Linked DNA regions of Nothobranchius furzeri. The protein of the gene in region 1 interacts with the protein of each later gene in a biochemical or structural test. Links are inferred from orthologs where the notes say so. Each region holds a gene or a part of one and is shown in the gene's direction. Other genes may lie near its edges.

Evidence for each region.
Region 2: the proteins of ube2m (region 1) and smurf1 form a complex in vitro, tested with the Homo sapiens proteins (2 studies listed by BioGRID). The link is inferred for Nothobranchius furzeri from reciprocal best matches to the Homo sapiens genes UBE2M and SMURF1.
Region 3: the proteins of ube2m (region 1) and cand1 form a complex in vitro, tested with the Homo sapiens proteins (2 studies listed by BioGRID). The link is inferred for Nothobranchius furzeri from reciprocal best matches to the Homo sapiens genes UBE2M and CAND1.
Region 4: the proteins of ube2m (region 1) and dcun1d4 form a complex in vitro, tested with the Homo sapiens proteins (3 studies listed by BioGRID). The link is inferred for Nothobranchius furzeri from reciprocal best matches to the Homo sapiens genes UBE2M and DCUN1D4.
Region 5: the proteins of ube2m (region 1) and xiap form a complex in vitro, tested with the Homo sapiens proteins (2 studies listed by BioGRID). The link is inferred for Nothobranchius furzeri from reciprocal best matches to the Homo sapiens genes UBE2M and XIAP.
Region 6: of the proteins of ube2m (region 1) and nae1, one has a biochemical effect on the other in vitro, tested with the Homo sapiens proteins (4 studies listed by BioGRID, with this or other methods). The link is inferred for Nothobranchius furzeri from reciprocal best matches to the Homo sapiens genes UBE2M and NAE1.
Region 7: the proteins of ube2m (region 1) and dcun1d3 form a complex in vitro, tested with the Homo sapiens proteins (4 studies listed by BioGRID and IntAct). The link is inferred for Nothobranchius furzeri from reciprocal best matches to the Homo sapiens genes UBE2M and DCUN1D3.

The regions. Positions count from the first base shown.
Region 1 is NC_091745.1:29,846,001-29,849,971, forward strand, and holds part of ube2m (NEDD8-conjugating enzyme Ubc12), read left to right. Parts: intron 1-930; coding exon 931-1,034; intron 1,035-1,659; coding exon 1,660-1,723; intron 1,724-3,971.
Region 2 is NC_091752.1:65,321,607-65,326,195, forward strand, and holds the start of smurf1 (E3 ubiquitin-protein ligase SMURF1), read left to right. Parts: upstream 1-1,530; 5' UTR 1,531-1,725; coding exon 1,726-1,780; intron 1,781-4,589. UniProt on the Homo sapiens protein: E3 ubiquitin-protein ligase that acts as a negative regulator of BMP signaling pathway. Mediates ubiquitination and degradation of SMAD1 and SMAD5, 2 receptor-regulated SMADs specific for the BMP pathway.
Region 3 is NC_091741.1:34,342,386-34,346,874, forward strand, and holds the start of cand1 (cullin-associated NEDD8-dissociated protein 1), read left to right. Parts: upstream 1-1,370; 5' UTR 1,371-1,590; coding exon 1,591-1,658; intron 1,659-4,489. UniProt on the Homo sapiens protein: Key assembly factor of SCF (SKP1-CUL1-F-box protein) E3 ubiquitin ligase complexes that promotes the exchange of the substrate-recognition F-box subunit in SCF complexes, thereby playing a key role in the cellular repertoire of SCF complexes.
Region 4 is NC_091748.1:39,458,782-39,461,835, forward strand, and holds part of dcun1d4 (DCN1-like protein 4), read left to right. Parts: intron 1-1,638; coding exon 1,639-1,730; intron 1,731-1,858; coding exon 1,859-1,967; intron 1,968-2,310; coding exon 2,311-2,415; intron 2,416-2,486; coding exon 2,487-2,589; intron 2,590-2,672; coding exon 2,673-2,728; 3' UTR 2,729-3,054. UniProt on the Homo sapiens protein: Contributes to the neddylation of all cullins by transferring NEDD8 from N-terminally acetylated NEDD8-conjugating E2s enzyme to different cullin C-terminal domain-RBX complexes which are necessary for the activation of cullin-RING E3 ubiquitin ligases (CRLs).
Region 5 is NC_091741.1:25,548,961-25,553,520, forward strand, and holds the start of xiap (E3 ubiquitin-protein ligase XIAP), read left to right. Parts: upstream 1-1,646; 5' UTR 1,647-1,805; intron 1,806-2,950; 5' UTR 2,951-3,000; coding exon 3,001-3,240; intron 3,241-3,326; coding exon 3,327-3,852; intron 3,853-3,954; coding exon 3,955-4,054; intron 4,055-4,143; coding exon 4,144-4,222; intron 4,223-4,529; coding exon 4,530-4,560.
Region 6 is NC_091749.1:35,484,375-35,488,959, reverse strand, and holds the start of nae1 (NEDD8-activating enzyme E1 regulatory subunit), read left to right. Parts: upstream 1-1,708; 5' UTR 1,709-1,780; coding exon 1,781-1,830; intron 1,831-2,163; coding exon 2,164-2,267; intron 2,268-2,348; coding exon 2,349-2,409; intron 2,410-2,491; coding exon 2,492-2,522; intron 2,523-2,629; coding exon 2,630-2,701; intron 2,702-2,852; coding exon 2,853-2,932; intron 2,933-3,022; coding exon 3,023-3,132; intron 3,133-3,275; coding exon 3,276-3,385; intron 3,386-3,475; coding exon 3,476-3,538; intron 3,539-3,610; coding exon 3,611-3,674; intron 3,675-3,765; coding exon 3,766-3,857; intron 3,858-3,924; coding exon 3,925-3,984; intron 3,985-4,073; coding exon 4,074-4,207; intron 4,208-4,323; coding exon 4,324-4,399; intron 4,400-4,585. Other genes in the region: ca7 (carbonic anhydrase 7), read right to left, coding at 986-1,022. UniProt on the Homo sapiens protein: Regulatory subunit of the dimeric UBA3-NAE1 E1 enzyme. E1 activates NEDD8 by first adenylating its C-terminal glycine residue with ATP, thereafter linking this residue to the side chain of the catalytic cysteine, yielding a NEDD8-UBA3 thioester and free AMP.
Region 7 is NC_091756.1:31,620,851-31,625,595, forward strand, and holds the start of dcun1d3 (DCN1-like protein 3), read left to right. Parts: upstream 1-1,799; 5' UTR 1,800-2,184; intron 2,185-3,190; 5' UTR 3,191-3,257; intron 3,258-4,745. UniProt on the Homo sapiens protein: Contributes to the neddylation of all cullins by transferring NEDD8 from N-terminally acetylated NEDD8-conjugating E2s enzyme to different cullin C-terminal domain-RBX complexes and may play a role in the cell cycle progression by regulating the SCF ubiquitin E3 ligase complex, after UV damage.

The DNA.
Region 1 (3,971 bases):
CTTGTTTCATTCTGTTGCATCATCCCACCCACCAGGCATATAGAGTGCCCTGATTGGCCCACAAAGCGGATATAGCTCTGTGATTTGTTCACTAAGCAGATAGAGCACTATGATTGGCCCACCATTATGAACCAATCACAGCTCTTTATGTGTTTGAAACCCCTCTAGAGAGCTGTGATTGGCCAGCCAGAGTCCTGGTAGGAGCTGTGGAGGTTCCAATGGAGCATGCCTAGACCAAACTTTGCAAAGCAAGAATTTGGTCTAGTTCACTAGGCTAGATGTCTCATGCTCCCTGAACCACTCTTTCACTATCTGAGCCTGAATGAATCCTGGCATTGTCATCTTGGAATATGCCCGAAGAAAACGTCCATCGATGGAATAACCTGGTCATTCAGTATATTCAGGTAGTCAGCTGACCACATTCTTAGAGTACATCCTGTTGCTGAACCTAGACCTGACCAACCGCAGCAACCCCATATCATAGCACTTCCCCCACAGGCTTGTACAGTAGACACTAGGCACGATGGGTGCATCACTTCATCTGCCTCTCTTCTTACCCTGATGCACCCTCACTCTGGAACATGGTCCATCTGGACTCATCAGACCAGTTTTTAATAAAGCGTTGGACAGTTCTTTACCCATTGTAGTCGTTTCGACAATTTCAGATGTTTTCTCTGCTTGATGCCAATGATCTGACCCTTCTCAAACAGACTAACATCTTTTCCACGACCACCAGAGGTGTCTTTCCACATGGTTGTTGAAGAAATGAGAAGCAACTCAGTGCACCAGTTGGGGTTAAATAACTTGTTGCTGGAGGCCTGTGCCTCTTTGCTTACTTAAATCCAGGTGGCCACCTTTTTGGGGCTAGGTAGTGTATATTCATTTTTTATAACTGATATAGATTTTTTAACTTACATTTGTGTGTTCCAGGTAGGACAGGGTTATCCCCATGACCCCCCTAAGGTAAAGTGTGAGACGATGGTGTATCATCCCAACATCGACCTGGAGGGAAACGTCTGCTTAAATATCTTAAGGTCTGTCTCTGTGTGTCGTCTGAGGTTAAGGTTTATTTAAGGCCCGGTGGATCATGTGAACCAACGGGAGCTTGATTTACATACATTTGGTTTAACAACATCAATGGTTATAACAGAAATCTCCTGATTGGCTCAACTTGTAGCAGCATCAGAGAGCCTTTGAAACAGAAAATGATACAGACCGTGGCAGAGGGGTTAGGTGCTGGCCCCGTAACCCGAGGGTTGCAGATACAAGGTCTGCTCTGTCACAGTCGTGTCTTTGGGCAAGACACTTAACCTTCCTTGCCTGATGCTGGTGGTCAGAGGGACCAGTGGTGCCTGTGCTCAGCAGCCTCGCTTCTGTCAGTGTGGTCCAGGGAAGCTGTGGCCAATGTTTAGCTCTGTACTACCAGCGTGGGAGTGTGTGTGTGCATGGGTGAATGACTGGTTGTGTTGTAAAGCATCTTGGGGGGTTGTAGAACCCTAGAAGGTGCTATATCAAATACAGACCAATTACCATGAAAGATTTCAGTGTTTTTTCTGTCATAGAAGCCTTAAATCTAAGTGGATTTTAAAGACGAGGACTTAATTAAACACAAAGTTGACGAGGATTTTGTTTGTTTGTGTCTCTGGTTGTCATCCACAGAGAGGACTGGAAGCCCGTGTTGACAATAAACTCCATCATCTATGGTCTACAGTATCTATTTCTAGTGAGTTAAACTCTGATTCTTTCACTGTTTGTTTAAAGTCAGAGTCTCTGTGAGGGAATGACTTCTAGCATCAAAATTAAAATATAATTCACTGTCAGTAAAAATAATGAGAATGCAAAAGAACAAGTAGAGGCTGGGAAATTTAAAAGCTGGTTCCGCATTCTCGTCAGAATCCCAGTTTTGGTCCAGAACTCTTGATCCAATCCCCACCTATCTGTTTTCCTTCCCAGCAGCCAGTCTTTCTTGCTATTTGTGGTTCTGTGATTCTTTTGTCTTTTAAAGGGGCCAGATCCTTGAAAATCCACTTTTTGGAGCTTGTTACCATGTGATATTGGCATTTCCTCATGAGAAATACTCCCCAAACCCTTTTTGGTTGCATTCATGCCTTTTCCTGCCTCAGCTTCAACTTTGTCCATGTAAAGATTTGTCCTGCGTCCAGGAGAAAGTAGCCCACTTGTGTCATCAGGCATCTCTCCTCCCCCTGAATCTGGTCTGGTCTTGACACAGTTGCAGCTCCCCGCTCCCCACAGGGATGGGTCAGATGCAGAGATGTAGTTTCACCAGTGTGTGATGATGACTTTAACTTTAAAATGCTGAAGCCTAAGATGCTGACATACAGAAGGTGCGTTTTGTCAGAGCGGATGGAGTTTTACTGAAATTGATTGTTTTATTTCCCCGTATAAATTCAGGCTGATGAAAAAAAATTCATATTTAAGATCAATTACATGTCAATAGTGCCAACGGTAATATTTAATCATAAACTGTGCCTACCTTTGCTCTCAAAGGCACAAGTGTCAAACTCGGGCCCTCGGGTCAAATCTGGCTTGTGGTCTATTTAAATTTGGTGCATTTACCACAAAGACTACAAATCCCAGAATGCTTTGTGACGTTAGCGACGTCAGTCGAAGCACCCCCTCCTTTTCTGTTTATAGTCATTAGCGTCCGTGCTACCAGCGTCGACATCTGCAGCCGTACCTCCTCAGTGATGGAGAAACTGAAGATCCTCCTCTTACTAGCCCAAAAATGGAGGCTCTGACTGCTCAGTAATGTTTGCGGGTGACGTGGAAAGCACACCAACCAACCTCCAGATGGAGCTAAGCGAACTCCAGTGTAGTGACAAGCTCAAGTCAAAGTATAACTGTGGCTGCTGAATAATTATACCAGGATTTTTGAGGTGAATAGTGAGTTATTATTATGATGATGATCACTATTATTATCTGTAAATATCTTCCCTTTTTTTGTTTGTTTTTATTGCCTTCTTGTGTTCTTGTATAACTTGAGTTGAACATTCATCAGTATAGCTTGTGTGTAAATTAATAACCTATAATTAGAAAAATGTTTGACCTCCTTTGCCCAGATATTATTACTTCTATGTTCCACCTAAGAAAACGCCTCTTCAGTGATTTAGTTTCTTTGTTTTATAATTTTGTAAACGTTGCATTTCAGCTTTGATGTTTTGTAGGGATGTACCGAAATGAAAATCCTTGGCCGAAACCGAAAACCAAAGCATTAGAAGGACTGTAAAATTAACAAGTCGCTGTGATGGATAGGAGTAGTCTCGGATCACGTGGTGTCTATCGATTGTTATTTACCTGTTGCGCACCTGCGTGGGAAGGCTGTTATAATGAGCTGGGGTCTCATTTATCAAACATGGCGTAGAATCCTTACTAAAACCGTACTTAAGCTCAGCAAAACAAATGTACTTACGCCAAGCAGGTGTGTGACCTATCAAACATGGAGGACGCACAGCTGCACTCAATCTCCGCTTCATAAATCAGAGACTAACGGGAATGTTTCTCAGCTGCTTTTTAGTCACATCCCGCCCTCACCACGCCCACTTACTGCCATAAATAGTCAATGCAAAGTGCCTTGTGGACCTCATGCATACACATAAGCCGGCTGTTGCAGCGCTCCGCCAATGACATGGCGACCGTAGATCAAGGCAGATCAAGGAAGCTCTATTTCACAGAAGCAGAAGTTGAGGTACCTGTGGGTGAGGTGGAGAAATGAAAGCAGGGATGGACATTAACTTCAAAACCAACCGGCCAGCCGGGCCGGTAACTCTGAATATTTACCGGCCCCACCAAGAATCTACCGGCCCCACTGGTCAGCTGCCAAAACGAGTCAAAATAATAACAGAACTGTTTTAAATGTAATAAACCTTTATTTTGTACACATTCACAAACATAATAACGTATTCAAGTTTGAATTTGTTTGTTCCCTCAACAAAACATGATTTTGTCGTCGC
Region 2 (4,589 bases), on another chromosome or scaffold:
CAACTTGAAATGATCCTGTGCAGTCTAATGACTTCACGAGGCACATGAAAGCCGTCCCAATGGTCAACAGCAGTGGCTAACGGGTCCGGTACCAGAGAATGTAGAACACTCAGACATACGGGAGGCTTGGTGAAAGGATGCATGAGGAAGCAGAACAATTCTGGCTCATCCCTTTAGCTATGCTGCTGGAGGACACACTGACCACATTTCCTCCCTCTTTCTGCTGGGTTTGGTTCTGCTGGAGGTTTTTTCACGTTAACACCATCATTCCTCTCCACTGTTGCCATGTGCTTGGTCAAGCTGGGGCATCATATAGAAAGGAATGGCTGATGCAATCAACAGTTTTTAATGGCTTTAATAATTGTCTAGGAGACTGAATCATATTGTATTGTTATTATAAATGGATTAAAGTAGACGGTTTACATCTGGATATGAATGTGACCTGTTTAGTTCTGCATGGTGCTCTAAGTTGACTTTTTTATGAAAGTTAATCAAAATGTAATCATTCTGGGACATTGTCTTTGAGTTTAGTCCTGGTGTAAATTACTTATTGTTAGTAGTAGTAGTAGTAGCAGTCAGAGGTGTGGACTCGAATCACATGACTTGGACTCGAGTCAGACTCAAGTAATTATTTTAATGACTTCTGACTTGATAAAATCTATTAAGTCTTACGACTTGACTCTGACTTGAACGCCAATGACTTGTGACTTGAATCGACTTGCATCTGTTGACTTGAGCATTTTTTATATTTCAGCACAAAGTGGCACGACACGGACAAAAATCATAAATCACTCTTGGTTCTGGGTTTGATTTACTGCAAAATGCAGCAGCACTTTATAATCAGTTTCAGTTGCACTTTCTGCTTGTTTGAGCAAATAAGCGAAGCTTTAAGAAGCTTTATTTCTGGAATTTATTTATTATCATTGTCATTAAATTGAAGTTGGACAGATGACTTGATTATGACTTGAAAATTCAAAGTTAAGGACTTGGACTTGACTTCGACCTCCAGATAATTGACTTTGGACTCAACTTGGACTTGGTTGTCTTTGACTTGGACATGACTCGAGACTTGACTGGAAAGACTTGTGACTTGCAAAGCAGTGACTTGGTCACACCTCTGATAGTAGTACTAGTGTGTTTTACATTGATTTCTTGAATTCCTGCCTTTACAGTAATATTCAAATAACCAACTGAAGTTTGATTATGGCCACTTGTTGCCTTTCAGACGTTTAAAATCATCCACATTTTGTTCTTAGAAGGGATCAGTAATTCGTCGATGAATTACTTGTTATAAACCTACAGAACATGAACACTAGTGATGCCAAAGGTGTTTTTATAAGACAGCCAGGTGAAATGATGTAGTGAGATATCAAATATTGTGTTCGAGAATCATGTAGCATTAAGATTTTCGAATTACAAGAAAGAAAAAGAAATCCAACCGCGTCTTCACGGGCACGCGCACCCTCTTTCGGGCTCGAGCACGTAGCCGTACGTGAGCTAGCTAGCTACGTGCTCGAGCCTGCCCGAAAATGTTCTCCCGTGTTGTTGAATTTCGAAGGAGCGCAGGACTTTGCGGCCAAATAAGACGTTCTTCTCCGTGAGGGAAACAAAAACGAAGCGAATGGTTGGCCTCTGAAATCTTCCGCGGTGCCATTTTATGTTGGTGAAGGAGAGTTTTCGGCCGACTTCGGGGGGAAGTTTGTGTGAGCCTTGTTACCGGGAGTGATGTCGAATCCTGGGAGTCGGAGGAACGGGTCCAGCATCAAAATCCGACTGACAGGTAAGAAAATAGCGAGCCAGCAACAATTCCGCTCACACGGCAGGCTGTAACTGGAGCTTAAATATTTTATTTACAGCTCTTTATTGTACATTGTCGGTATAGTCCAGCCTAACTTTTATGTGCTGCACTTGCCTGTTAGCCCGCTAGCTTGTGGGAAGATCTTAGTTACCGCTGACCGTTGCAGCTTGTTAGCTACACCCATTTTCCTGTTGAGTGACCACCAACCCAACCCGACCGACTGGGTTACAGTAATAAAGGCGACTGTTCCTCCGCAGCCTCTTTAAAATCGATTGATTGGTGGATCTGTGACACGCTAGCCCAGATTACCACGGGCTATCGATCGCTGTGTGGCTGCTGTGTCAGCTGCGGTTAGACTCGCTGAACTTATCCCGACCCTGGGAAGTTTAAACATGTTTCCTCTTTAGGGATCAGCTCGTCTGAGATGTTTATTCCGTTTTGGTGCTCGGGTCTCCTCGCAGGGCTTGTCGGAGTCCCTTTTCTCTCACACAGGGAGGGATCCAGCTGGAACAATGGTTTTTACTGTAGCTAATGTAACGCCACTAGCCACCGAGGGGCCTCTATTCAAATGGAAATGACCTCTCTGCCTCTGGGCAGACACTCTGGCCTTCCAGTGACTCAAAAGTAAACAAAAAGACAGCTCCATTTCCCTTCTGGGCGATCAGAACAGAAAAACTAGTGGAAACATGCTGGTTATTTGTGGCTTTTAGTTTCTTTCTAGCCTTTCTTGTAAGCTGGATTTGAAGCAGAAATTTGTGTTGACACACTCATCTCTTCACACAATACTCAGAGTACAGGTTTCAGCTTCAGTCTATATGTAATCTAGCCAGGAGTAGAGTAGGGTTGGGCATCGTTTGATTTTGAATGATTCCGATTCTAATTCCAATTCCTCGTTTCGATTCCGGTTCCTATCGATTCCCGATTCCGATTCTTTCAAGACATTACATGTTTAACATGAGCTAGCTAACCACAGGTCCTATGAAATAATCTTAACTTCAACATGAATTTTAATTCTGTGAACAATAACATCACCTTAATTTAGTCAAAAACTTGTCCTGGCCCAGGAGGACGCCCCAGCTTTGTGTTTTTAGTCTAAAACAACAGATTAGGACTGATTCTATCACGGTTTTTAAATTGTCATTGAAGGAACCGAGATCAACCGTGTTTGTATTTACTATGTAAAACACCTTTACCTTTCATCAGGCTTCCGAACCGTAGCTTTTCCAGTTTGACCAACCAGATAGGAGGGTTGGGGGTAAACGATTATTTTTTAAACGATTATTCTGACGATTATTTTATTGAATAGTCGACTATTCTAAGCACTATTTAGACGATTAATCTAACAATTCTTTTTTTCATTGCACAATTAATAAAAACCAGAAAATCTCAAATAAATTCCTCAAAAAAATTGATAAGTTGTTACTGTAAGAGAATAAACACGCAGGCATTCCATTTTGTATAACACAGCTTTTATTGTGTTGCGGTTGGTTTTGTTCTGGTGACGTGTAGAACTTGGGAGTGCAGGCTGCTGCCTGAGAGGTGTTTGAAGACGGAGTGTCTCCATGCTGCTTTGTTTTGGTCACTTATGTGCGTGAGGCGAGTGGTGTTACGACCCTTCCTGGGGAGTTTGGCTCGTGTGCAGAAAGGGAAGGGACAATAACACAGGATTTAAAAGTTAAAATGATGATCAGGTTTATTTACAACTCCAAAAAACATAAATCTTTCCATCCACAGGTTGGGAATAATAAAACGAATTCTGCCTGTGGGGAATTAAAATAAAAGTACAAATAACTAGGGATGTCCCACTGGGCAAAGATTACTGGGTTCTGGACCGAAATAAGGATCTCCAAAGGTCCAAACTCTAAACTGGGCGGTTAAGCCAAACTCAAGGTGATATTTTAAACTAAACCGAAAACCCACAACACTCTAAATGTAATAAAAGGGAGATCTGCACCACAAAAAAGATGAACTCTAAACCAAAACGTAACAGCTTATCCAAACGCAAGAAGCTGCTAGCGAAAATGCTAACAGTAGCTTTACCAACGTTAAGTTCAAGTTACCGAGTTTAAATAAACCAAAAACACCCAGCAAACAGACCAGCACGGAGGAGAGACTGCTACCACCAAAACAGCTCTCCTAATGTCTGAAAGAAGCTCCTTTATGAAGGGAGAAACGCTCCCGGTGATTTTCTACATCTGCGCTAGAGACGGAGCAGCGCATCTGACCCCGGAAGTTGTTGTCCGTTGCCGGGAGACGAAGGCGGGCAAAACAGGAAAGGAATCTTGTAGCGGACGGACCGGGTCTTGGGTATTTGGCGGGGATTTTAGTGAAGGCGGAGAAGAGGGCAAACTAGAGGAAAAACAGGCAGATTCCTCCTCTTTTGTGTGTTCTTACTGTGTCTAGTTTCTAATTCCATTTTTGGTTCTTTTTAAAACACAAGAAAGGTTTCTTTTTACCTTGCTAACGTTTTGTTTGCCGACTGTAAACGAAACGTTAGCAAGGTAAAGAGAACCCTTTCCTGTGTTTTAAAAAAGAACCAAAAATGAGATTCCTCCTCTATTTACAAACTCCTGGGGATGCAACAAGTGGGCGTGGAGCGTCGACTACCGGATCTGACGTCGACAAATTTTTAGAATCGAGCCGTCGACACCATCGACGCTTCACCACAGCCCTACCAGATAGGATGTTGAATTTGTCGTTGTTTTAGTGGTTTTCGCACATTCCACTTCTCCTTTTAGTGTCTTTCTCCAAATGTGTTAGCTCTTTTTTGTGTTGGTTCTAAACCAAAATG
Region 3 (4,489 bases), on another chromosome or scaffold:
GCGGGAGGAGACTGTACCGATGATGTGAAACTGTACTAGACCCAGTCAGTGACAAGTTTAAAATGCAGTAGCCACAGTTCTGCCACAGGGGGCAGCACTAAGACATTTTTAGACCTAGATTCTAGATCTAGTCAAGTTTACACAAGCATGTCAAAAAATGCACAGAAACAGAAAGATTGCATTTGTAAAGACACAATTATACAGTTAATTAGCAAAACTATTTTTGGGGGGTTTAGTTACTCTTTAAATGTCTTGCCCAAGGACACAACAGCAGAGACCTCTGTCCGGGTCCAGGACAGAACCTGCAACCAGTCCTCAACCTCCTGAGCTACTACTTCCCTTGAAGTGCACTCTCAGCTCCATTTTTGTATTTTCATGCAAGACGTGGGTCAAAGCCAAGATGGCAGTGGTGGGAACTGCCACCAGGCTTCAGATCAGCTATTCAGAAACCTGTGTGTGACGTTTATTACAAAAAGTCAGTAGTTTTTGCAGCGTTAGCTCGGTGCAGACCCAGCAACTCCAGGCTCATGTATAGTAAACTACAAATACATCCCTCTTTAGATGTTTGAAAGGAGATAAACCGATAACCCCCGCCGGCTGAGAAAATAACCTCCATCTTTCAGTTCTTTTTAAAACACAGAAAAGGTTTATTTACCTCCAACGTTTCGTTTGCGGCTGCAAACATCATCAGGCTGGCACCGATGGTGGCGTCATTTCCTTCGTTTATCCGCGGGCAGCAGTTGTAAAAAGAACTGAAAGATGGAATTTGAAACTAAACACAGCAAGAACACACAAAAGAAGGAGAAAAAAATCTGTTTTAAATGTAACCTTCCTTCCAACATGAATGAGACATTAGACTGTTTTGTGATGATTTCATTGTAAATTTGTTACATATTGCTCCTTTAAAGTAGTGAAGGGATTCCACAAAAACTCAATAAAGGCACAGAAAAACTTAGCTCTATGCCAGGGCTGATGGGGAAAGATGAATCACATAATTATTTAATCAGATTAACACGCATTTAGAATGTTTTACTCATAAAAATGTTCAGTAAGTACATATTCGTGACTGTACACCTTGTGTTTAATAATGTAATAGTGATTTTTTTTGTGAATGACCCAACAGAATCAGCCTGAGCCTGGATTATCCGGGTTTATTAATTTATTAATACAATCTGATTACGGTAATCTGTGGCGCCTTCTGACAGGTGGTCTGGAGAATATTCCTCTCAAGTCGGTGCTTTTCCGTCTCTTTTTCACTTATGAGGTTAACTGTAACTAGTAATCCTGGTTGGGGTGTTTTTAAACTTGTGCGCAAAGGCGAAGCTGGCTCTACCGGGTGGATCTCCGGTATGAGGGAACAGTGACCTCAAACCCCGCAGCGTCCAGTCCCGCTCACTCCGCCCCTCTGCAGAGAACCGGAGCCCCATTCAAACTAAAGTCCGCGCCCCGGGATGCCACAGCGGCTGTAGAGGGAGATAACGGCGGCTACGGCAGCAGAAGAGGCAGAAACACACCCTTTCACCCAAAACCAGCCGCATTTGAGACGCCCAGCCGGGCTCAGTCAGCTAACAGGAGGCTAACGGCACCAACATGGCGAGCGCCTCGTACCACATCTCCAACCTGCTGGAGAAAATGACCTCCAGTGACAAAGATTTCAGGTAAATCTAACTCCAGACGGGTAGCTTTACATGTTGCTTATTAAAACAAACTCAAAGCGTTTCTTTAATAATTAGATTTAGTCAGACGCGCTGTTTTTGTGCGGATTTCAGGCATCTGTCAGGAAGGCCTCAGGCTAGCGTGCTGCTAGCGAAACAACGCTAACCTGCTGGTTAGCGGTCTGCTGAGGTTCGGGTCGGCCCGACAGCGGGTTTATACGGCATTAGCAGCTGGTTAGAGGGATAACCTGCTAGTTATAGAGAAAACCTGCTGCACATGGTGATGATCTGACACCTGAGTTGCACGGAAACGGTCGCTTGTTAGCGGCTAACCTGCTTGTAGCTGGGTAGCAGCCGCAGCGAAGCGTGCTGTTAGCGGCGCACTGGAGGATGTTTACCGAGGTAAAGTGACCAGGTGAGGGCAGGCAGGTGTCAGCTGATGGGGTTCGTGTTTAGGTGGTGCAGATGTGACTGTCTGGATGATCTTCAGCTCATCAGGATGGACGTTTGTTCACATGAATGTAGCTCAGAAGGAGCTCTAATTGGTTTCTTCCGCTCTGTTTATAAACTTCTCGGTGACTAATCAACATCGCGCGCTTTACTATGATTTGTTTGCCTTCTACAACAGAACCTTCGGTACAAACACACACAGTCAGTTACTAATTAGGAAAGAATCACCAGTGTTTATGGCACAGTACGTTTTGAACTACATTATCCAGCAATTCTGTCGTGCGCGATGCATTCTGGGTAGATGATCACGTTACATAGCAACGGGCGGAAGTGATGGTTCAGATGTGTGAACTGTACTGATGATGATCGTAAATGATGGTTCAGTCGTACTCCCCTAAACATGTGACCAGTTTAGTCACAGATGGACCTGAGAAAACCTGAGGCTGCACAGGTGTGACTCGTCCTAAAGAAGCCTGACTTGTACTCGTATGTCTGCGTGGCTTCAGAGACACTCAACGTCATGATGCATCAGCGTGAGGGCTCTCCGACAGGCTCGCAGAGGCTGGAGCCGTGACCAACTTTTCAGCTATCTGTTGAAATTGTCAGAGATTTCAAGCTTGTGATTGGTCAGGACGCTGCTTCCTTTAAATTAGTCAACAGCACCCCCATCGCCCCCTCAAAAAATAATGAGAGCTGAAGATATTTAGTGGCGAACACAGAACAGATTGAAAAACATCTCCGTCGATGCGTATGCAACTCCACACTCGAGCTGACGAAGAATTAGAAATGAGCCTTAATGCTGAAAGTCTCCCAGTGAGACGCGTGTTAGACCAGGGGTATTCAGTTCTGGGCCTGGAGGTCCAGCACATTTTAGTTTTAACTCAAAAAACCTGATTTCAATCAGCAGGTGATTAACCGGCTCCCGCAGAGCCTGATGAGCTGCTGCACAGGTAACTCAAGTGTATTGAATCAGAAAAACCACTAAAATGTGCTGGATACCAGACCTCCAGGAGCGGAGTCGAATACCCCTGCGTTAGACTATATGATGGTCTAAACCAATCAGAGGGAGTGATGGGAGGGGCCTCCACTCTGATTGGCTGGATCATAGCCAATCATGCAGATTAGGGTTATGAACGGACACATGGTTTAGGAGAGTAAAGGAAAGGTATGATTGTAATGTTTTTGTCAAGTTGAGCAGTCTGGAACCCAGCAGGAGCTCTGGCACAGAACCATCAACCTCCGAGGTTACGAGTCCTCATCAGGAGACAACATCGGATCATGAGCCACACATGAGCGGCTCTGATCTGGAGTCCCACAGCCTGTGAGCGGATCAAAGCAGGAAATGTTGACATCATCAAATTAAAAGGTGAAAATGGACAAAGCACGTAAAAAACGCGTTAAATGCTGACGTAGGTGCTCCTCCTCTTCCGCCTTTCTGCAGCACATGCAGTGTGTTGCTAGCATGATGATGGAATACAAAGATAGAAGTGAAGATTTAGTTTAAAGTTTCACTCGCGTAATACATTTTCAGTGGTCTCTAGTAGGAATGAATGCCTTGTAAGTTGTACTCTTGAGGAAACAAAGCTCTAGTGCGCCTGTTTCAGGAACTAGAAGTGAGCCACATCTGAGCTGAGCTTCTGATGGCAGGATTTGGAGTCCTATTTCCTGATATTTAGGCATCTCTCCTCTGATTGGCTAAAGCTAGGCGTACAGTGTATGACTTTTTCACTTTTGTGAGCCGGTTTTCCCCTCGTACGAGAATCTAGAAGGTCGGGGCGAGTTTTGTGCTGAGCATCGTGTAGTATACAGGAGGCTACGAGAGGCGATTAACACCACATGACCAGGTACCTACCGGTCAGCAGTCGTACACTCAGACACATTTCTGGCATATTGCATATTTAACTCGTCCCTCGTGAGGGTATCGGACTGTTAAAGCGGCACTGCGACCCAAAAAGTACCAGAACCGCTCACGGCACATGCGTGAACATGCATCAACACGGCTCACCAGCTATGTCCTTATTAACACACTTCAGTCGTTTTTATTTATACACTTTTTTCGCACACGATTACATGTGCTGGATACCGGAAAGCGTGTCAAATGAAACTGATAAAACATTGATTTACTTTCTTTCATCTCCCTCCTCCAACCCCATAAACGCTCTTGAGTTCTCTACTGTGCCCCCTAGTGGAACACTCCAGTACTAGGAGCAACGCTGCAGCAAGTGTGTGAACAGCGGTTAGGGTTACACTGCTTCCTGCCTGCGTCAACGCGAGGCTACAAAGTTCCTCGCCCAACATTTGCACTGCGGTGCCTCGCTGCTTGTACCGATACTAAATACTGGTCTTGGTTCTACGTGGGTCCAAACGAGCCCAGCGAGGGGGAC
Region 4 (3,054 bases), on another chromosome or scaffold:
GTTGATACCACAGTTCTCATCTCTGATGAATAATTACAATCTTACCTGTAGTAGAGGCCTTCCTGAACCTGCTTATGGGGTTTAAGTCCCCTTAAGTCAACTTCAGGGTTCATTTCAAGATCCTGGTTCTGGTCTATAGGGCCTTACATGGACAAGCACCATCTTACATTGGTGATCTTCTCAGTCCCTACACCCCCAGCAGGTCCCTGAGGTCCAGTGACCAAAGCCTACTGGTTGTGCAGCACCAGGCTAAAGGTCAAAGGTGACAGATCATCTGCTGCTGTGGCCCCCAGACTCTGGACCTCTCTCCCCCTGAGCCTGAGATCAGTGGACTCAGTGGTCTCCTTTAAAAAGCAGCTGAAGACTCACTTGTTCAAGCTGGCTTTTGTATGACCTTCTTCACCTCTCTCTCTTTATTCTGCTCTCCCCACCTATTCCACCTTCCTCAGGATCCACTGATTTCCCTCTTTCCTCTTCACTCTCTCTCTTTCTTAACATTTTTTCTTTTAAATCCCAATTGCCTATTTTTGCCCATTTTAAATATATTTTTAAACATTTTCTAAATGCTTTTTTAAATATTTTTACTTTTTTTTGTTTTTGTGAAGCGCCTCGTGATTTTTATCTTGAGAGGCGCTATAGAAATGATATTTTCTTCTTCTTCTTAAACTCGCTGGTGCCTCCAGCAGCTCACTGACACCAGCTTCATGCTCCTAAAATGACAGCTGTTAATTTTGCATTACATGATTATTATGGCAGAAATATTAAAAATGTCCTTATGAAATAATGCATGAACAAACCAATGAAATCCTGCATATCAGATTCTATTTAATATGGCAGCAGTCTGCTTTGACCTTGCCTGGAAGTCTGTTTCGGTTTATATTTGTGCAAAAATAAATGTTGATTCCTTTGGACCTTTAAAAGACACTGCTGCAGTCTTTAATTCAGCGGTCACAGAGCGCGTTTACATGCAGCCAGTAACCCTTTTGAAACCCGAATATTCACAATAACCCGGTTCCGCAGGTCCATGTAAACACCGCCAAAAACCCGGTTACTACACCTGGGGTAACCCTTTTCTAACCCGAATGTTTGGTCGTGTAAACGCATACCGGGATATCCCCATCAAAGCGTGTGTTCTGCGCATGCTCTGTTCGCAAGAAATCTTGGTCTTTTGAGTAGCGAGACGTCGTGTACGCGCCAGAACACCGGAAGTAAACAAGTTGCTCACGTACTCTCCTTCGAATGAAGGCCAGTACGCACAGTCGTAAAAGCTGCTGGTGGGTCGATACCAGCACTAAAGCGCAAACAAACGCGGTCGCTATCTCTTCCGAACTGGGAAACATGTTGTTGTTTTCACAGATACCGGAACAAGAAGAACCGGAAATGACGCATATTGCGTCTGGACGTAGTCCATACGTCCTGACGCTACCCCAACGTCCGCATTTACATCGGGTTATGCAAGTTAGGGGCAACTCTTTCTATTTATGCTTGTAAACGGGTTATTCTGATCAACTCAGAAACCCGAATACCGACCTTAACCCGATCATAACCCGGATATTGGCTGCATGTAAACGTAGTCAGTGAGGCCTGACAGGAACCTGGTAGGACATACCTGCTGTAACATCTTCTATTTATGCCCAGGTGGTGATGCTGGTGCTTGCTTGGAAACTGGATGCCCAGAGTATGGGATATTTTACTCTTCAGGAGTGGCTACGAGGCATGGGTTCCCTTCAGTATGTCAGCTACTTACTGTCTCTTACATTTGCTCTCTTTGAGAAAAAGTTTCTACTTCCTCTGCGGTTGTGATTCTCTGTGGATTTGGCGTTGAAGTGTGTCTGGGGTAATTTTCTGCTGTTGTCAGGTGCGATTCCACCGAGAGGCTGAGGAACTCCCTCGACTACCTGAGATCTGTGCTGAACGACGGCACCAGTTTTAAGCTCATTTACAGATACGCCTTTGATTTTGCTCGGGTACGCTGAAAAAACTCTTTCAACCATTGAGCCGCATGCACACAGTTTAACTTATAGCCTAAACTAAGCAGAAATGTAGCTCAGGATCAAATTTGATATTTTTAGCTAATCAAATCTACCTTCAGTTTTTTTCCTATATTAGACATGCAGCTTTCATAGATGAAATAAAAATGTAAAATATGGTATAAAACCCCAGTTTTGGCTTACAGAAATTCATTTTATAAACGATGGGCTCTGAAATCCGTCTAGTTTAGTGCATGTGGCTGATCTACTTTTATTAATAAAGCAAGGTTTGTTTAAAGTGGTTGTTTTTTATTAAGTCTTGTGAGTTGTGACTGGACAGGAAAAAGATCAGAGGAGTTTGGACTTGAACACAGCCAAGTGCATGCTGGGACTTCTTCTGGGGAAGACGTGGCCTCTGTTTCCTGTCTTCAATCAGTTTTTAGAGGTGAGCATGCAGCAAAAGATAATCACACAGTAGCTGTTGCCTTAATCTGTGGTGCTTGTTTGGTTTCTCAGCAATCCAAGTATAAAGTCATCAACAAAGACCAGTGGTGCAACGTTTTAGAGTTCAGCAGGACAATCAACCTGGATCTTAGTAACTACGATGAGGATGGGGCCTGTGAGTGAACACTTCATTATACATAAGGTGGGTCATCAGAGTCCACATTTGAAATGATGGTTCTCTGTCTTGTCTTTTTTCAGGGCCAGTTTTGTTGGATGAATTTGTGGAATGGTACAAAGAAAGACAGATGTCATAGCTGAGGATGGAAAAGGAAAAATAAAAGACAACTGTGACCACAACAAATCAACAACCAATACGCAAACATCAAACAAACGGTAAAGCAGTGACAGTGGGTGCTTCCTGGTAAAGGAGGGGTTCTGTGGTGGGTGGATGGGGGTGGGGGGCGCTGGGTTTACAGCTCAGCTGGATTCTGCCTCGACTGTCAGGGCAGAAGGCTGTTATTGTGGAGTTAACTCGCCATGAGGAAGTTGCATTGTGGGTCGATTTGCAGCAATCCCCCTGTGGTGTTGCTCTCTCGTCATTGTGACACGTCACATTGCTGAAATCCATCCGGTTTAGTGG
Region 5 (4,560 bases), on another chromosome or scaffold:
TCTCTACTGCCCCCAAGGTTTGAACCATTCTTACAGTAAGACTTTTACTATTATGTGTTTAAAGTACAATAAAAAAAACTCTGAAATGTTATTTGAAATTAAAAGAACCAGCAGAACTCTTGATAGTGAGTAAATCCGGCTGCTACGTTTGCCAGTGACATGGTACGCTCCCAGTTTGTAGCAGTTCTTTACGGGTCCATTTGTCTCACAGTTGTGTTTGACAAATTGCTCTGTGGTGTTTCTCCCAAGCCTGCCAGTCTTTGGCCCCCTAAAATACCCATCAGAGAGTTAAGCACACATGGTTTAAGTTTCAGCACCACCAATGTTAACATTATCTATGTTTTAAGAACCTCTTTAAAACCACTAACAAGCATAAACAATAAGGAAAATAATCTTCTAAACAATCCTATTATATTATTATATTATTATAATCCAATTTAGAACTCAAATGAAAAAGGCATAAGTGCAGAACTTGAGTAACCCTTTCCAATCAAGCATGATTTATTGTCTTTGGGCTAGTTTTTGAGCAACAGGCGTTCTGAATTTAAGCATTAGATGTTGGCATGCCTGACAATGAAAAATGTTCTTTCCACACAACTCTGACCTGTAAGGTCCAAACCTAAAGACAAAACATGCCATTTTCACACAGATTACCCCTTTTCAAAGCAGCCGTATGCAAACCAACTCTAAAATCAGCTGGTTCACACCTGTCGGAAAAAGTGGACTGATCATACCTAACATCATAATAATGATGATTCAACAAAAACCTGACTGGAGTGGGTTTTAGAATACCAAGTGATCGTTTATGAAGTTATTGTTATACCACAGGTAGTTTCTGAGTAAAGTTACAGCTAAGCTAAACTTGATGAGGCACATTCAAACTATGCTGTTTATGTTTTCTTAGAAAATATGTATCTGTGAAGATGATCATAACATAACAGAGATAGAAAATGTATCTTCTCCATTCTAAATTATAAGAATACCTGTGAACCCCCACCCCCTAAAAAAATCCCTAACGATTTACTGGAAATGCATGGGGCAGACCAATGCTCGTGTTTTATTTGACTACTACGGCAACTTTTAGTTTGAATCAAAAAGTTGACATGCATAATCACCAATATGGAAAATTATCTCAGGTTGATATATGACTGTTAAAGAGTATAGTTATTTTATGTATCCCATTAGCTTTCACTGGCATTTATTTCTGTTGGTGACAGATGCAGGTTGTATTATCAGTCCCTACCCTGTGCCTTGAGTTTCTCTGCTCCAACACCAGGTCCATCGGTTGAATCACCTCTTCAGCAGCTCTGTAACCTTTCAATTACTTGCTGATACAATCAGGTGAGAGAGCAGATAAACCTCAGATAAACATGGAGGCCCTCAAAACAAGAGATGACCGCCACTGTCCTAACAATCCTGATTAAAAATGGTCACTAATATTGTAGGTATAAGATTATGACCTTCAGACATTGTTTGAGGTGCATGATGGGATTACATTAAAATTTTAAATGAACGCTTTTTGCTGGTTACTGACCATATTTAGGCAACCCTAAAGTATGTTGGCAGTTGATAGTAGACGGCATGTTTCTGTGAAACACCCACGTGGGCGTACTTTGATCATGTGACTGAAGAGGCGGGGCCAAATGTTCTAGGTTCCCAGATTCCTCCCTTTGCTTTCGCTTCCTCATAGTTTTTATAAAACAAACTGAGCTCTTTAATCATCCTATTCTGCTCCAGGTCAAGTTCACACTAAAGACAGACTAAAGTTACAAGCTGAAGACCGGAACCAAAAGGGGCGCGTGAAGGTAAATACCGTAGTTTTCCGGCTACGGTCGATTTAGGCAACTGCGCAAATTAGCAAACAAGCTAACGAAGCTAGCTAACTGACACTTTAGCAAACTGTCAAAACCCAAAGTCACTATCTCGACATTACGCACCTACATCAAAGCAGCTGATGTGTTTATTTTTAGAATGCAGGCTTATTGAAATGCGTGTCCTTGAATAATATAGGCTAGTTTTTAGCTTTTGGTAACTCGAGCATCCACGTTTAAGCAAGGGTCACCAGCATAGAGAGCTACTTCATGTGTACTGAGCCACATTAAGGGCTACCAGGATTCTACAGTTCTGACATTTGAACTGGAATAGATCAGAGTTAAACCAAACTTCATTTATAATAAATATATTTTATTTATTTGGAAGGATTTGTAGTTTTAAAATCAATATTGATGCATTTGTAATTAAAAAAGAAGGCTGCAGATTTGTATTTCGTTTTAGATATTTGCCATTTAAAGAAGTGGCTTTATATTATGCCAGGAGGCACCATGGTGCAGTATCGTAAATTGTGCATGTTTGTCATACGGTTAAACACACATTAAGTTGTGACACACTCGTGATCATGGTGACTACTTTTTTTTTTTATAAAGATTGCCAACAACAGTGCAAAGATCAAAAGCTGATCCTCATCAATAAAGCATCTCAGATAAAATCATACTAGATGTTACAGTTTTAGGACTAAGCCTCCACCATGTAGTGGGCTTTCTGAGTATTTGGGTTGTGAGAACACATTTTCCATGTGCCAGTGTAGAGGTGGCAAAACTATTCCCCCCATCCTGCTTTCTTAGCTGGCGTGCTTTGATCTTGGGTCATTAGCCCGTGTACAGCATGTACTGTGACTCCTTATTACAGCAAATACTTTATCAGTGTTTGTCACTGTTGTGTATAATCTATTTAGGAATGCTGCTTTAGTGTAGATTGTATCAGGTTACGCCCTTTGCACCGCCTTTCCTGTTCCCATGCCTCACACAGAGTATCCAGCACCAGCATGTGATTATAGCCTGGCTGCCTCTCCCAAAGGCTTAGCCTGGATGCTCAAACCAGCTCCCTGTTGTTTTAATTCAAGTACATTTAGGACTTTTGACTAACCTTCAAATCTGCTTGTCTTTCTCCTCAGACTTCATACATTCAGTAGCTGTATCTATCCAGGAAGGTCCTAGTTCAATTATGTGTGATAATGAAGAAAATGAGCATCTGGAATCAGATGGTGCTATGGATTTTTCATTGCTCAACAATCGCCTGAACTCCTTCCGCCGCTCCATCCTGGCTGAGCAAGTTCCAGCTGAACGACTGGCACGAGCAGGCTTCTACTTCACCGGCAACGCAGACCGCGTCCGCTGTTTCAGCTGCAAGAAGACTGTGGAGAACTGGACCAGCGATGACACGCCTGTGGAGCGGCACAAGGAGGTAGATCATGGATTCAAAGTGTTGAACGATTGTGACTTTTTGTTCTGCTTTAGAGGTTTAAATAATGATCTCTCTTCCTGGTACAGGTTTCTCCAACGTGCTTGTTTCTCAAATGCTGCCACCGAACCAGTTTCAACCCGAGCTTTCATAACCCGCTCACTAATGGCTACAACGAGGCTGCAGAACACATGGAGTATCGTTTGTTAACTGGAGCCGTGACTGACGACACCATGTACCCTAAAGCCCCTCAGATGGCGTCTGAGGAAGCCCGCCTTCAGACCTTTTCCTCGTGGCCCGTTGATTCTCTTATGAGACCCAGAGACCTGGCACAAGCTGGTTTCTTTTATTTGATGAATGCTGACCGAGTGCGGTGTTTCTGTTGTGGTGGCGAGCTGAGTGACTGGGAACCAGAAGACAATGCTTGGAGTGAACATTCCAAACATTATCCAAACTGCTTCTTCATACTTGGGCATGATGTGGGGAATGTGCCGCTTCAGGAGAGCAGTTCTCAGGTCTCCATGGAGAGTTTTGAGGGGAGACTTGGCAGCTTTGCTGGTCTCCAGCTCCCTGTTGACCACAAGAGTCTCGCCACGGCGGGCTTCTACAGCTTAGGTACAGCGCCATCGTCATCTGTGGACAAAACTCATACAAAAATGAGTCACTGTTATATCGTTGTTCTGATTTTGTTTTGACACATCTGATTTGTGCTTACAGGAATGGGAGATAGGGTGATGTGTTTCAGTTGTGGTGGGAGTTTGAAAGGTTGGCAGCCTGGGGAAGACCCCTGGGAACAACACGCCAAATACTACCCAGGGTTAGAGGAAACATCTGTCTTTTCTTGGCAATAAAAATTCATTATGGAGACATTTTTATTTATGCTGCTGTAACTTTCTTCCCCATTAGATGCAGCTTCTTGTTGGCAGAAAAAGGAGTAGAATTTGTCAACAGCATCCAACTAAATGGACCCAAACAAAGTAGAGCTGTAAGCAATCTCCTTCTTTTTTTCTTGCTATTGTGATTATATGACAAACCATAGCTTGTAACTTTACCTGTCAATCTGATTCCCAAGTCCCTTTATTTATAAAAAATAAACAATGAAAAGGTTTGAATCAGCTGGAATTGTGTTTTAAATCATTTTACTTGTATTTGGTGTGTTTTAGTGAACTTTATGGAACATAAGGAACCAAATGTACTTCTCTTTAGGTCTCGGAAAATGACTGTGATGCCCTGAATCATTAGTAAATTTGGTTTGTTCAAGCTGGAAAATAATAACCTGTTTTTGCTTCCAGGTCTCAAATCCTCAGAATGGGCTTTTGGGCG
Region 6 (4,585 bases), on another chromosome or scaffold:
GTAGAAATGAATGCATTGGGGACGAATGGAGACCCATCTGAGATGGCAACCAGCCACTACAGCAGCTCCAATAGGCAGCGCCAGTCCATGGGGCATCTGCATATATGTCTGTGGCTATACAAGCACACTCACCTTTTGTCACGAAGTTGGCAGGAAAAACAAACTACACTGAGGTGAGCTGTGCTAACCCATGATGTACCAAGCCATTTTTGGCTTGGTAGTGCATGGTGTTGTTGGGGGGAAAAATGCTTTAGAGTGGAGAGATGTAACAAATCAGGAAACTCAAGCATGAAAAATGCTCCTACATCCAGAATCTTTTGAGTAGGTTAATTAATTAGGAATCAAAACACAGAGCTATCATTACCCAGTGTGTCTCTACAGTTCTCCAAGGACTCTGTCTGAAATTGTATAAAGTAGGGTCAAAGCTCCTATATGTTCCATTATACTTGTGGTGAAATTTCCTGAAAGGTCCCAAAATGTATCTAAAAGTTAAACTGTGATTTTAGAAAAATGGTTAAAGGTATCAAGATGCTGATACAGTAATAGCAGAATGTTTTGTGACAACTTCAAACTTAAATTGAGTTTCTAGGTGGAAGTATGCCAAAGTAGCTAAATATCAAATAGAGTGATACATATTTTAAAAGAGGTGAAGGATTTTGCATGTATTATAAAAGCTGAAAAATTCCATAAAATACTCTATATCTCATAAAGTGTACAAAGTAAGGAAAACTCAGGAATGCTAAGTATTCAAACAATTATAATTTGCCCTTGGGTACAAATATTCAGCTTTCACAAGTTCAGGTAAAACTCAAACAGATAGCCAGATTAACCTTACAGCAGTTGCCCTTTAAATCTCTGTGCTAATCTGACACTCACATAAGTCTTAAATGGCCAAGAGCAAACATGCAGGGATTCCTCCCACGTGGAGAAAATAATAAATAAAGACTAAATATTGCATAAAGAGTCTGAAGAAAGTTAAACTCACCATCCTCTTTTCCATAGCCCCAGTTGCATCCTGTCATGTTTTATTTTGTGGTAAAAACGGATCAAACGATGCGTCCTGTTAAGAGCACCTTAGGCACCTGCCGGGCACAAGATCAGCTGGTGCCGCGATCGAATAAAGTTTGTTAAGGGGGGCGGAATTATCCTCAGAGGACACGCCCCTTTACATTCTCACGCAAGTTTTTCTGCTTTAATTAGAAAATGATCATAATTAAATGAAGAAACACCCCACACGAAAATAAATTTGGTCTTCTGCTAAAAAAATTTAATCAAAGGTTTATGTGTTAGTATAACTTTGTTTTTTGGGGTGAGTGAATTACTGATAAATAAATGTGTGTGTTAGTTGATGTACTCATTTTAGCATGTTACATTTTATTTGAACCCCCCTTCTGCATTGTTAAAAAATATTTCTCTTTAAAGTAGCTTATTTCGTTCAAAGTTTTTGCGCAGTTTTTTAAGGGTCATTCCAAGACGCACTCGGGCTACTTTTTTACTTGACTTCATGCCGCTTTGGGTTGTTTGTTTTCTGCAAAGGATTCTTTTAAACTTTAAAATCCCAAAAATAATAAGAAAATACATTTTTGTTATGTTAGAAGTAGTAGTAGTAGTAGTAGAGTTATGTTTTTTAATTAAACATAATTTTATCACATGGCATTGCATCCCTTTAATATTTTTATCGAAAGTGCGCATAGGGATCTTCGCGCGCCCACATTCGTGTCGAATCTGTCTTTGCGGAAGTTAAAAATACGTCAACAACGTCACTCATTGAAAAGCTACCATGGCAGCCACCAAAGACTCCAAAGAACAAAAATACGACAGGCAGCTCAGGTAGGTTGTATTAACATCACAGGCTTCTCTAATAAATGACATGCTTTCAGCCAAACAGAGGGGATATTTATTATGAATGGGTACAGCCGAGTGCTAGCTAGAGTGCTAACGATACTTAGCTTTAGCTTTCTTTGTGATGTTTCGGGTAAACATCGTTTGCTTTTAGGTGATAGATTTTATTACTTTGAGTTAATGTTTAGATTTGACTTTCCACAAAAGATGTTTGCCTAATAGCTGCTATTTAGTCGCATCCTTCTGACGGTGATTTACCAAAATATCAGGGAATCTCGATGCTGTTTCAGATGCAGTCTGTGTTATTGTTTGTCTCCTCAGACTGTGGGGGGACCATGGACAAGAAGCTCTGGAAAATGCACATGTATGTCTCATCAACGCCACAGCAACTGGAACAGAGATCCTGAAGAACCTGGTCCTGCCAGGTAATCAGATGATGGATCAAAAAAAAGTTCTGGTGTTGATGGAAACATCTGTCTGATTTGGAAAACTGCTCTGTTTGACAGGGATCGGAGCGTTTACTATTGTTGATGGACACATAGTGTCTGGGGAAGATGCAGGAAACAAGTAAGAATTCATTTTATCATCTAATCCATGGCTAAAATAAGCTATTCCACATGTAGCTGACTGCTCAATCTTGTGTTTACAGCTTTTTCCTTAGCAGTGATAGCATTGGAAAGGTAACCAACCCTGAATCTGTTTATGCTGATTCAAAATGTGGTTATGTGGAATAATCAAGAGTGAGATTGTTGTTATTTGAGTTCTTATTTTAGTTTTGTTGTTGCAGAATAGAGCCCAGGCTGCCACTGAACTACTGCAAGAGCTAAACAGTGACGTGTCTGGAAACTTTGTAGAGGAGGTTTGTGCTGTTAGATTCCTACTGAAGTTTATTTCTATGTGTGCATATACTACAGGGTTGATGATGCAAGATTGCTGTGTTAATATTACAATATGTTTATTGTTATCAGCACTCTGATCATGAAAAGTATTGTATTTCCTGTCTCCTTCAGAGTCCAGACAAACTTCTGGACAATGATCCAGAATTTTTCCACAGATTCACAATAGTCATTGGTGTCCAGTTGCCAGAAAGGTGCAAGAAATCACTTCATTCAGCTGAAATATTTCAGTTTACTTTAAAGTCCACAAAAAAAGCATTTGACTTTTCTCTACCATTGAACAGCACCTGTTTGAGACTCGGCATGGTACTATGGAGTGCATCTGTACCGTTTCTAATCTGCAAAGCATATGGCCTCATAGGCTACATGAGACTGATGGTGCAGGAGCACACAGGTGTGTTATTCAAACTAGCAATGTATACTCATGTTACTCATAACGCAATATTGTTTTGCCTTTATTAACACACGTCTGTCCATGTGATCAGTATTATAGTTTAGGGTGTTTTTGCATATTTTCATTTTATTGCTACTCTTTAGTGATTGAATCTCACCCGGACAATGCCTTGGAGGATCTAAGATTAGATCGGCCTTTTGATGAATTTAAGAGCCACATAAAGTCCTACAACCTTTCCATCATGGACAAAAAGGTCTGCTGCACTTCAAGTTGCAATTTCAAGGATTTTTAGTGTTGCATCTGCAGAAAACTAATGATTTTCTTTGATTAATGTGTCCTGTAGGACCACAGTCACACACCATGGGTTATCATTGTTGCTAAATACCTAGAGAGATGGCTCAGTGAGGTAAGGGGGAACACTTCTGCTCAGTTATTCATTTATGAGTGTTATATCAGCTCATTACGTGAATTCTTGCAGCACGATGGCCAGCCACCCAAAAATTACAAGGAAAAGGAGGCCTTCAGGCAGATAATTCGGGAAGGTATCTCTGATCAGCTGCAATGTAATTGCATATAAATACAAAGAGTTTAAAATGTAGTTTGTCAGGGATTAAAACTTTCTGTTTTGGGTAGGAATCCTGAAGAATGAGAATGGAGGCCTAGAGGATGAGGAAAACTTTGAGGAAGCCATCAAGAATGTCAACACTGCTTTAAATCCAACCAAGGTGTCGGATTTTAAACGAGTCACAGTTTCAGGAGAAGTCTTGTCTTAACTTAACTTTGTTTCTGCAGGTTCCCACTTCGGTCGAAGACCTCTTCAATAGCGAACAGTGTAACAATATCACAGCGCAGGTGTTTTGTTTTTTTCACAGTCACTTTAAAGTTTGTAAACTACTAATGAGGTTTTAATCCGTTGCTTCTTCCTGTCTGGATTGGTTCAGTCTTCATCTTTCTGGGTGATGCTGCGAGCTGTGAAGGAGTTTGTGTACAACGAAGGCAGCGGAAGCCTTCCCGTTCGTGGATCCATTCCAGACATGATCGCAGATTCTCAAAAGTTCATCAACCTTCAGAACGTGTGAGTGAGGAGTTTCATTAATTATCTCGTTTCTGGGAAACCGGCATCAGTGATGAATCTGATTCTGCCTCTTCGTGTTGGGATAGCCTGTTTTATTTGTGTGTTTTATTTTTCAGTTACAGAGAAAAGGCCATGCAGGATGCAGCAGCTGTTTCTAAACACGTAGAATCTCTACTTCAGTCCGTTGGAAAGGTAGGAAGTGTAGATCCGTGCATCTCGGTGTGCCCTGATTTCTGGAATAATACATATAAAAGTGATTGTACATGCATTTGTGTGAAGTGCTTGTGTAGATCCAAGCGTTTCATTCAAAGAGAAAAATCATCTCCTCAATAAACAGATTTTATCACAGTTCATTTCAGGGATGCTCAATATATCGGC
Region 7 (4,745 bases), on another chromosome or scaffold:
TCCCAGCCTGTGCATGCGTGGGTTCTCTCCGGGTACCCCAGCTTCCTCCCACAGTCCAAAAACATGACTGTTAGGTTGATTGGTCTGTCTAAATTGTCCCTAGGTGTGAGTGTGAGTGTGTGTGTGTGTGTGTGTGTGTGTGTGTGTGTGTGTGTGTGTGTGTGTGTGTGTGCATGATTGTTTGCCCTGTGTGTCTCTGTGTTGCCCTGTGATGGACTGGCTCTCTGTCCAGGGTGTACTCCGCATGATTGCCCATTGACCGCCGGAGATAGGCACCAGCCCCCCCACCCCACCCCCATCCCGCGACCCCGCGTCGACAAGCGCGCTCAGAAAATGGATGGATGAAATAATTATGACAACTCTCTTAATCAGAAGACCTTTGTTGTCATTGTGTGGGTCAGTCCTGTTCAATGATGTAACTATGCCTCCACTACATACATATGCACCGCACAGAGTTGGTCACATTATTAAAATGATAAACAAAAAGACATTCAGGCAGTTCAATCCTCAAATTACAATTGGCTCTCTAAGCTTACTGACCCACCAAGTGAATGAGGCAAAAGGTTTCCATTGATGACACACAATGGACGTAGTTTTTGTTATTATAATTTTGTTTGTTTGTTTTTTGGGATGGGGGGTGTCCCCCACACTTTTTTCAATGTAAGTTCTTGTCCTCTGCACTTTTAATCGTTCAAAAACAATATTACGCAATAGGAGTGGGAATGAAAATGACTAACAAGGTGAAAAACAAAGTTGAATTGAAAGCCGGTCTACTCTGTTGGGCTTAGAAAAAATAGAGCTGACATACTTGGTGCTGCAGCCTGCTTCCAGCCTGTTTCCTTCGTGTTTTAGATCATGAACACAGCTGATTTGTTTGATTTAGTGATAAATCGCTCATGTAGACACAAAGGAAGGCTGGGGAGATTTTCAGCAATTAAGATTCAAGTGTTAAAAAGACAAATGCACAGCAAAGAGATGTGTTTTGCTTTTGGTTCTACGAAACGAATACTAGGGGGTGCTAAAGAAAGCAAAACTGCCAAATGTGCCTTTAAAGCAGGATATGTAATTCAGTTTCTATGTCCTGTTAAACCTACTGGTGGCACTGAGTGCTGCGCTTTGAGGTGTGCATGCTTTGTATGAGCAGGTGAGAGATAAATAGGACATAGGAGACTGAAAACTCAAGCTTGTCAAAAGAAAATGGAAATAAAAACAGAAATGGAAATTATTGACTGTGGTTGCTTTTAAAGGCTCACATGATTGGCGTGTGCATTTATTTGAGTATTATTGATATTATAGTCTTTTTAGCTGTAAATTTGAAAATCTATCTAATCTGTAAAACTGCTTATTTAAAGGAGGGAAATTAATGATTGTTTCGCAGTTGTAGTCATTTTTCAACTGTGCATTTTAATAATTGTGGACTAAGAAGGGAAATATTTCACATAGCCCCACCAAGAATTATTTTCAGCAGCCGCCACTGGTGTGGGTGTGTGAAATCTAAACCAAGCTACTCAATGCAAATAAAATTACCCTCCAATTAAAAAATTAAATAAAAAAACTGCTTGCAGATGTGTTTTTTATACACTTGTACCACATGTCTTTACATTTTAAAAATGCAAATGAGCGCATAAATAAATCTGTACAAACTGTTTCCTGTTTTTCCATATCCAGTGTTTTACTCTGGAAAACAAAACAAAAACATTTTTCGACTTCCCCGGTCAAGTCCCAAACTATTATGGTGACAGAATTCGGTGTGACACCCCCGCTCAGATGGAGATCAGCTGTTGGCTGTTAGCACAGACAGAGGAAGTGATGCAGGAAAATGTCCATAATGTAGTTCAATGACTAAAAGGGGGAAGCACAAAGAAATAGGCAGCCTTAGTCCGAGAGTGGCTCTTTAACTTGTTTTAAACTGCGAACCAACAAAAATGAATTCCGATACAAACTCTGACTGCTAATCATTTTATCATTCCCTAAAGGTAGAATAGAGTGCGACTTTATTATGGAAGTTTTTTCTTTTTTTTTCTTTTGGTCAGCTGCCTGCTAGTTTGCTAACAATCTGACGACGAGTTTGCCTCAGTTCGTTACTGCTGGTATTTCGGCCAACTTATTTGCCCACCTTTGTTTTCAGTGACATTTATGAAGTGATGTACATTCAAATGACGCGGCCTACGTTTTCCTAAAAAGGTAAGCTTTTTGAGGATATTTATCTCGTTGTGTCAGCCGGAGAAGACTTAGCATAGCCGCTAGCTAACTTTTAGCTATGTCGACGTGGTCAGGGCCAGGCACTTTAGATGTGGATGTTTAAATGGCCCGGTGACGAGGATGGATCGTTGATCAGTAACCGATTAGCGAGTATTGCCCGACTACTTTAAGCAGTTTAAGCGGACTATTAAACAGAAACTGAATCAGTGTTTACATTTCATTTGGAAGTGCTGTACATGTGCTGTTAAGCTCCCTTGATCCTGATCAAGAGCTTGTCTGTCTCCAACAAGCATAACTTATTCAGATCATCGTTATCAGATGTGTGTTTTTAAACCCAGCAGCTCGTGCTCGGTGACAACATAGCTGCAGATATTACAATTTAATATCTGGGCTGCTCTTCGCCTCGGACAGTTTTTAAGACCAGCTAATCCAGTTAAATTGACGTCTGGATGTGTTACACGGTGATGCCTGTTTATTGTGGAAAAGGGGGCCTTTAGACATCCATCTGATGTCAGAGACTTGAAGTTGGCCAAGTTAGAAGTGTGGGAGACGTGCCTCTACATGTCCAGGACATTGATCTGTACTGGCAATTTGCCCCTGAAGCCTGACTCTTCTTATTAATGTATGACTAGTGACTTTATCAATGATCTGAACAGAGTTGAGTTTGGGTTTAAAAATCAAAGCTGTGTATTTTGCATTAAGCATTGTGAATTATGTTTCATTATAACATGTGAGACTCTTTCTTTGTGGAAGCAAAGAGTTGTACAGAAACCCTTCAAGTGGAGACACAGAAAGATTACCCCACTGTGTAAATATTGCACAATGACTTCTAACTGTCATTTTAGGGTATTTTAAAACTGTCCAATAATTATTTTGCAAGAGGAGAGTTTTGACTTTCTCTTTGTATTGACAAAAATAGTCCCTGCAGATTTGGGAATGAAGAGCTATTGCTTTCTGCTTATGATGACAATATAATGTGTCTTTGCAGCGTTGCTGATCTCAAGGTCACAATGATGGAGCAGAACTGAAAGACAATGCCATCTGACGGAGTGTCTGTAAGTGAAATTGTCATCAGCTGCTCTTTTATGATATAATGCATGAAGTCATCACATCATGTGTGTGTGTGTGTGTGTGTGTGGTAACCATGTCTGTTTTAGTAATTAGGTTAGTGGAAAGAAAATGATGCATTTACAGATTAAACAAACTACCAAATTGATGTTTGCAAGTAAAAACAAAAAGTGATTGATCTGGTTTTACTCATGAATTACAACCACATCTATGAGAATATAAAATATATGAAGCATTGTTGAGCATTCAGTCTGAAAAATGTTAATGGAATGTCTTTCTGATTTTAAAAAAATGATCACAGGATTTGTTGTGTCTGGGTGCAAAGTTACGTATCAATTTTTTAGAGTTTTACTGATAAAAGTTAGTTAAACAATCAAAACATGCAACAAACAGGGCTTTGGAAACTCTCCCTTTATGAAAAAGCAGGTTTGTTTTAAACGATCCCAGACTTCATTAGCGACATATTTCTAAAGCACTTCCCTCATTATTTTCACATGCTGCAACAATAATCTCAGCAACAACAAGACATGAGGCATCAGGTTTAGCTCTAACCTAAATGTAAACTGTAGAAACACTTTTCTGTTGGCTCCCATCATCACATCAGTCAAAGGATTACACAAAATGCTGACATGGCTTCAAGGGATATGACCCAAGTAATTAGCTTGTTCAACTAGCTTAAACAGTAACTACCTACATTCACGGACTGCACACAGTCTGATGAGACATCACCTACAAAGCTGTGTGGGTGGATGGAATGAAATTGATCTGTACATCATTCATATCCCTCATAACACAGATTTTTACTCTGCTCTCTTTAACACCCACCCTGCAGGAGCTGAAGACAAGCCCTGTGTGTTACAAGAGACTGTAACAATTCTGGCTCATTATATATAGGTCCTTCTCAAAAAATTAGCATATTGTGATAAAGTTCATTATTTTCTGTGATGTACTGATAAACATTAGACTTTCATATATATATTAGATTCATTACACACAACTGAAGTAGTTCAAGCCTTTTAATGTTTCTAATATTGATGATTTTGGCGTACAGCTCATGAAAACCCAAAATTCCTATCTCAAAGAAATTAGCATTTTTCATCCGACCAATAAAAGAAAAGTGTTTTTAATACAAAAAAGTCAACCTTCAAATAATTATGTTCAGTTATGCACTCAATACTTGGTCGGGAATCCTTTTGCAGAAATGACTGCTTCAATGCGGCGTGGCACCTGTTAAGGTTGGTTTATGCTTGACGCGTCCGCGAGGTCCGCACGGAAAAGTTGCGTCATTTTGCGTCATTTTAACAACCACGCCCCTCCACCGCGCCTCCGCACGGCCCAGAATTTCCGCAACGCGCACCTCGGAAAATTTCTAACCACGCGGACGGTCGGACGCGGAAAAACATGGCGGACCGGCAAGAACTAGTACGGCAGAGGTTGGTAAATACAGACATTTGTATGATTCAGCTCTCAAAGAT